Cricetulus griseus: one gene and its partner. The protein of the gene in region 1 purifies or fractionates together with the protein of each later gene. This does not show direct contact. Links are inferred from orthologs where the notes say so. Each region holds a gene or a part of one and is shown in the gene's direction. Other genes may lie near its edges. The genes, in order: Pja2 and Mob1a.

What was found.
Region 2: the proteins of Pja2 (region 1) and Mob1a purify together in Homo sapiens (affinity purification with western blotting; 3 studies listed by BioGRID). This does not show direct contact. The link is inferred for Cricetulus griseus from reciprocal best matches to the Homo sapiens genes PJA2 and MOB1A.

What each region holds. Positions count from the first base shown.
Region 1 is NC_048595.1:453,414,685-453,418,506, reverse strand, and holds part of Pja2 (E3 ubiquitin-protein ligase Praja-2), read left to right. Parts: intron 1-300; coding exon 301-415; intron 416-761; coding exon 762-883; intron 884-3,822.
Region 2 is NC_048601.1:74,788,459-74,792,380, reverse strand, and holds the start of Mob1a (MOB kinase activator 1A), read left to right. Parts: upstream 1-1,725; 5' UTR 1,726-1,932; coding exon 1,933-1,946; intron 1,947-3,922. UniProt on the Homo sapiens protein: Activator of LATS1/2 in the Hippo signaling pathway which plays a pivotal role in organ size control and tumor suppression by restricting proliferation and promoting apoptosis.

The sequences.
Region 1 (3,822 bases):
AGGACATAGCTTTACTTGTGATAGGTTAGGCTTTCTGCAGGTGGTGTGTGTGTGTGTGTGTGTGTGTGTGTGTGTGTGTGTGTGTGTGTGTGTGTACGAATGCCATGTACTGGTGAGACATGGGTATTTGACTTAATGATCGTGGTGGTGGGTCTTTCGGAAGGGAGCTAAAGGGACAAAAGAGTAACAGAAAAAGAATACGAGAATATGATAAATGTAATTTGATGAGACAGCTTAAAAATAGTTCCCATTACTATTTTAAAGAATCTCCTAACAAAGAGCTATACTTTTCTTTTTCAGACTGCACTGGCACACTTAGAGTCTCTTGCAGTGGATGTTGAGGTGGCTAATCCACCAGCTAGTAAGGAAAGCATCGACGGGCTTCCAGAAACGCTTGTTCTAGAAGATCATACTGGTAAGGCAGGTCAACATTCTCAAGTCTGGGATACCATATTGTGTGCTTTGATGTATTATTGGGGCAACTCAGTGACCAAGTAGTTGATCATTACGTTTTTATAAGAAGCTGACAAACTTCCACCTAGTAGAAAATGCTTAATAAAATATATAGAGACCAAATGTTTACCCGGTCAACTTTTTAAAGAAGTAATGTTTATGACATTCTAAATTAGCATGCTAGAATATGCTTGCCAGTTACTTGATAAAACTGCCTCTTCCATCTTCATAGCCATCACAGTGATTAGTTTTGTTAGCCCTGAACTTCACCTTACGGCTTGATGGATGCGCGTTGTTTGTGTTCTCAGCTATTGGTCAGGAGCAGTGCTGTCCAATCTGCTGCAGTGAGTACATCAAGGACGACATAGCCACAGAGCTGCCCTGCCACCATTTCTTCCATAAGCCTTGTGTCTCCATCTGGCTTCAGAAGGTGAGCTTTAGATGTACTTCCTTAAAATTAACATTTATATAGCTTCTTCTACAAGTAATAATTGTACATTAAGCATATAGTCATAGTATTTCACATTAAAGACTGGCTTCTTTTGTAGAAATTTAGACAACAGTAACTATTTAATATATTTTCATTCATAGCTCTGAAACTGCTTTCAAAAGTATCTCAAAAGATTCTTTTACATCAACCAAAGTACACTGTAATAATAAGAAAGTGTTCTACAAGTGTGCATGGGTGTTGCTGAAAATGTATGAGGAAAGTACAACCAAGCAAATAACCCCTCTCCTGCTTTTTATGTGCCTACGTTAAAGACGTACCAATCATTTGAAGTGTATTTGAGTTACTTTGGAACTAGAGTTTATTTACATCCCATGATCTCTGTTGGCACATGAAGATACTTATCGTCTAGCTCAGTAGAAACCTCTACGTCCTTTCTTGGCATTTTTCTTGTGGTTATAGCTCCCTCTTCTCTATAAACACTCCTACCCAGTCCCCTCTTCTTAGCTCTTTCTCTCCTTTTTTCCTGCTTTATTCTTCACTGTCACTTTATCCTCTTAAAACTGCATTGAAAATCTCTGAGCACTAATGTAGAGATGTTCACTATTCCTTTACAAAGTCTGAAGAATCATTGTTGCTTTTGCCTCCTGTGTTGTGGTTAAGTGTATACTTACTTTCTCATTTGCTAAAGTCTTTATTATTCCTCTGAATCCCTCAGCTGCTGCTTTGCCCTACCTCCAGTAACCAATACTCCTACTTACAGTGGGCAGATTTACATGTTCCCCAGTTGCTGACATTTGTGGGATTGTTTTTTTGCTTTTATTCTCCCACAAAAGGATTCCACAGTCTTTTTTAATACATAATTTTAAAAATTTATTCCTGAGTACTTTTTCTCTGTACAAACTTTAAAATCATTTTACTTATTTGTTTTTCTCTCCCAAAATAATTTGTTTTGGCTGAAATTTATTATTGTGATGGCATTAAATTTATACATTCTGCTGTAGACTTGCTCTGAAATACTTTTAGAGTTGGATTAATGAAACACAAAAATATCCATGAAATGCAGTGTTCTTTTGAGTTGAAGTTGAGAGTTTTATCCCTATTAGTGCTGGCTTTTTCTTTTTAATTTTAAGGTTTTTTAAAACATCCATTGTTTTGGAGATGTGTATATCACACCATGTTGTGAAAACTAGTTTGATATACTAGGAAGCAACCAGGGCCTAGTAAATGTTAAAACATAAATTACATCAATCCTATTAGTAAAAATTAGAGATGGCTTGTTAATAATGAAATGGCAAAAAGAAGCTTAATTTATGGTACAAATTGCAAAGACCTGCCAGCAGACTTCAGTAAACTACATATTAACAAAATGATTGCTAATCAATTAGTGCAAATAATGGGTGTTTGAAGTCTCTTGAGACTTCTGGCATTCCAGGTATTTTGTTTTGTTTTTTTTCTTTAACTGCTTATTTGGCATTGTGTTGATTATAGTATAGATGGCTATATCAAACAATATAATCTGTCTACCTTGAATATAAAGTTGAAATAGTCCATATTGAATTTAACTAATTACCTATAAACAAATAACTGGTATAGTGAGTTAGCAGAAGTTAAGTTAGCATTAAGTAGGAAAGAACGTGTAATCCCTGTGCATGATGGCAGAGGCGATGCAAGAGAGAAGGCATCTCTGAAGTTAGCAGGGAAGCCATGTATGCACCCAAGCTTGTGGTTCATGTCCACTCCTGAAAATCAGGCCAGCCACTTTTACTTCCTTGTCCGTGGTAGTTGCCTACTTTATTCCTCATCTTCATTGTAGGTGTTATCTGAACTGTAGCTCTGCTCATGTTACTTTGCTTGCCCTAATGGGAGAGATTAGGTTGGTTTTCCTTCACTTGCAGAAGAGTGGATTTCTGTCTTGGCTTTCAAGGCTTTCTGTGCTCTAGCCCCCAAGCTGTCTGTTCAGATTTGTTATTCTGTACACTTGGTCATGCTTCTGTACATTTGTTCCTGAAGGCTGACTTCCCTCCGTCCCATCTGTAAGATGAGGTGGTGTAAGTAGAAAAGCTGAGACCTCACCTTTTCTGTCTTGGATACAACGAGCTTTCTTTACACTCTCACTTAGTTACAGAGATTTAAGAAGGACACAGTGTTGTGTCCTCTCGGTTTCAGAAACCAGTAGACGATTCCCCTGTGTTTGCCCACTTTGTCCGCACAAAGGACTGGAAAATGTCATGGTGTTCTAGTCCCTAGACCAGTGATTGTTACCTGGGTTAAGATGATATAGCTGGTCCCGTCCAGGCTAAAACTGCACTCACTTGTATGACAGTGCTGATAGAGGCCATTCATTGTGGCAAGTACATCGTCAGTGTGCTTGGCTTTGCTGTAGCACAGGATAACAACCTAATTTTTGTCCTCTGAGGAAAGAAATTAGTATAAAGCCTCCCCTGGGAAAAAGGTTCCCAAAATGAAATTCTTTGTCACCTTCAACAGCATGGTAGCTTCGCTGCCCTTCCTTCTATCAGAGAGATGCATTTGGGAAAGGCCAGACTTGCAAGGACATGATGTGTCTTCTGTGAGGTGACAGGTCTCTGGGCTTCCATTGGTTTTAAAGCTGTTCTCTTCCCATCTTCTGTCCCAGGTCTGTGGTTAGTTTGTGTTGTTACTTAGAAGGCACATAATTGTCTCTTTTTAGAAAGGGGTTACCTGGCTAATAAAGTAAGGTCTGAAGTCAGTCTGGTTGATCACATCTGTCTACAATAAAGTGAGGCTTTCATGTATGTATATAACAAGGATGGGCCTGATGGGGCTGTAATTTTCTGAGCCAAAATTGTGTGGGGTCTCTTGTATGTGCCTAATAGATAAATTATTGGGTTCAGGTCATTAATAAGCTTACCTGACTGATTTCCATGAGACAATGTACT
Region 2 (3,922 bases), on another chromosome or scaffold:
GACCAGGCTGGCCTGAAACTCACAGAGATTGGCTTGCCTCTGCCTCTCGAGTACTGGGATTAAAGGCATATGCCACCACCGACTAATTTTTTTTTCTTTTTAAATGAGGATTTATCTTTATCTTGTAAGTGTTTTGCCAGTGTACATAGATGCCTGGTGCCTGCAGAGGTTAGAAAAGGGTGTTAGATCCTCTGGAACTGGAGGTAGAGACAGTTGTGAATTCTGGGAACTGAACTCAAGAACTACACACAGGAGCAACAAGTACTCTTAATTATTAAGCCATCTCTCCAGTATCTCAAGTCATATATATATATATATATATATATATTATGTATATATAAATACATATACATATACACATACATACACACACATATATACATACATACATACACACACACACACACACACACATATATATATATATATATATATATAGAGAGAGAGAGAGAGAGAGAGAGGTGGTCTATGTAGTCCTGGTTGTCCTGGAGCTTGCACTCAGAAGGCAGAGGCAGTTGGATCTCTGAGTTTGAGGCTAGTCTGGTCTACAGATTGAGTTCCAAGATAGTCAGGGCTACAAAGAGAATCTCTTGTATTGAAAAAAAGAGGAAAGATTATAATTAAAAAATGAATAAATAGAATGCAGAGAGGCAGAGGCCGGCAGATCTCTGTGAGTTTGGGGGACATCCTGGTCTATGTAGTGAGTACCAGGACAGTAGGACTACATAGTGAAACTCTGTCTCAAGAACCAGAAAAAGAAAGGAAGAACCATAAACCTTTATCAAGAGATACATTTTAAATCACATACAAATAAAACTGCAGACGTTATAGATGTTAATAAAACAAAAATAAAATGAGAAAGCTTACAGAACAAGCCTGATAACCTGGTTGGACCCCACTCGCCGGCATGGTCCAACTCCTACATGTTTTCTTACACACACACACTCACACACACACACACACACACACACACACACACACACACACACACACACATACAAATTTGTAAACAATGTTTTTAAAAGTTAATAGATGGAGCCCAGCATGGCAGCTCAAGCCTGTAATCCCTGCACTTGGAGGCAGAGGGAGGAGGAGGATCAGGAATTCAAGGTCATCCTCCGCTGTTTACTGAGCTTTTAAAGCATCTTGGGCTATGTCATATCCTATCTCAACAAAGGAGCAACAACAAGAAAGAAAAAAGAAAAGAAAACCAGTTGATAAAATAAAATCGATTAATGCGACAGGGGACATTCGAATGGTTTAAAACCACCAGCAGTTAGAGCGGGGAAAGTACTGGGTCTTTGCCACTGCGCATCCTGTCCCACCATTTATTTATCTCCACAATTTTCTTTCTCCTCCTTTATTTCTACCGTGGTGTCACCTGGTGCCCACATTCTCTTCACGCGCGCAAAGCATGCACATGAACACTCATAGCAGCATTGTAATGCGCGTGCAGACACCACCCTAGTGTCCATCAACAGATGATGTGGCTGCAATAGTATTCCTTCAGAAAAAGAATGAAGCCCTAAATAGCACAACAGTCACCGAGCGGCGCTGGCAGACGTCCCGCAGCCTCGGAATACTTGACCGTAGTGCGGAACTGGCCCCCCCCCCCAGGGCCTTCCCGGGCCCACCGAATACTGATTGGCTGAGCTCAGTAAGGGGCGGAGCGAGGCACCGCGGGGCGGGGCGGAGGAAGCCTAGTCTCGCGAGATCTCGTCGGTTCCGCATTTCGGCTCTCGGAAGTGTGGGAGGCATCTCCGGAGGGCTCCGTGGTCCGTGCTGGTTCGCGGCGGCTGGACTCCCATCCCGCGCCCGGGCCGTGAAGCTTCGGCGGCCCTGCTTAGCCGCGGACCGCCCTCCGCATTCCGGTGCCCGCGGCGGCGCCGAGTCTGACTGGGGCGGGGGCCGCGGCCCCTCGGGCTAGCGAGGATGAGCTTCCTCTTGTGAGTGGGCCGGGCGGGCGGGCCGGGCCGGGCCGGGCGGCCGGGCCGGGCGGGGGGGCTGGTGTCGGCCGGCGGGGCCGCTGCTGAGGGCCCGGCTGAGGGTGCCGAGCGGAGGGCGGGCCTGCGGCGTCGGAAGAGGTTCGCGCCGGAAAACGCGCGGTGCCCCTGGGACTAGACGGGTGCACATACTCCATGGTTTTCCACTGGTTTACGTTTGAGAAGCTGGCCGCCGGCTCCTCGTTATCATGTGGCTTTTCTCCCCCTCCTGTGTCCCAGGCAGCCTCGAACCTGGCGGGCGCCTCCCGCCCCAGCCTTCCGAGGCCACCAGGACCGGCCTGCTCTAAACGGGGGTCGTTTGGAGTCAGGGCTGGCCTGGGATTCAGAGCTCCACCTGTCTCTGCCTCCGGGGTGCTGGGATTTTTTTTTTTTTTTGAATGTGGACGCTTTAACGTCTGCCCCAAATGTGAATCTTTTTTTTTTTTTTTGTCTTTTTAAAGGTTTTTAGTTTATGAGAACTTCATAGATGCGGTTGTTTTTCCATCATATCCACCCTTCTCTCCAGTGCCCTCTCATTTTCCTTTAAAATTCATGTTCTCGTCTGTATTTTTAATATGTGTGTAAACACACAGAGTCCAGTTAGTGTTGCCTGTATGTACTTGGGTGTAGAGCTGACCACTCAATCATGGGCAGCGTAGTTGAGCTTGTCCGTGAGAAAAACCTGACTTCTTGTGGACGGTAGCTCTTCACCTAGGTGAGGTAAATGTGACTATAGCTTAAGCTGACTGAAATATTAGTGTTTTGCACTTTTTGGCTATTCTGAATAACGCTGCTGTGAACATCTGGTTACAGGTTTTTGGGTGTGTGTGTGTGTGTGATATCTCCCGGGTATGAAGAGTGAATTGTTACATGTTAGTCTTTTGAGGCACTGTCAAGCTTTTTAAAGCCCCGCACTGCATGTTACTTCCCTACCTCACTGTATGAGTTTTCAAACTTCTCCACTTCACACCTGTCTTGTCAATTGTCTTGTTATTCTTGAGTATAAAGTAGAATCTCTTGGTTTACATTCTCCCAAATGACCAGTAATATTGAGCATCGTTGTGCGTGTATTTTCATGCTATTTGAGGATAAATAAAGTCTTTTGGTATCCTTTTCCTATTTTAATATCAGATTGTTTTTATTTTGTTAACACCTGTTAACTGTACAGATTAGTTGGGTTTACTGTGACATTTCCATATGTGTATATATGGTACAGTGTTTATGTCCATCTGTCTTTTTGGTTTGAGTTGTAAAAATTCTTCATATATTTGAGTGTCTTATCACATCTATGACTTAAAAATGGTTTCTTCCTCTGGATTATTTAACTGTCTTGATGCCATCATTTGAAGCATACTATATTTTTTAAAAGATTTAGTTACTTTTGTTTCTTTGGGACAGGGTCTCATTATGTAGGTAGCTCTGCCTGTCCTAGAATTCACTATGTAGATCAGGCTGGCCTCAAACCCAGAGATCTGCCTGCCTCTCCCTCTAGAGTGTTGGGATTAAAGATGTATACCATTATGCCTAGTTTAAATTTTTTTACTTTTTGTATGTGTTTTGTCTGCATGTATGTGTATCATCTGCATCCAGTACCCATGAATGCCAGAAGAGGGCATCAGATTTTGTTGTGGAATATTAGTTGAAGATGTGTTACATTTGTTTCTGCTGTGGAACATTTGTTTGATGATGCAAAAATGTGTTAATCCTTTTATGTTGCATTTGTTTAACTCTGTGAAGCTGTTTTAATTTTCCTGTCTAAAACACCTAATTGGTCCATTAAAGAGCTGAAAGGCCAGTTGCCAGACAGGAGAAAAGATAGGTGGGGCTGCCAGGCAGAAAGCATAAATAGGAAGAGAAATCTAGGTTCAAGAGAGGAGGGAGGAGACTGAGGGAGGAGATTCTCAGCTAGCCACACAGCCAGACAGGGAGTAAGAAGTAAA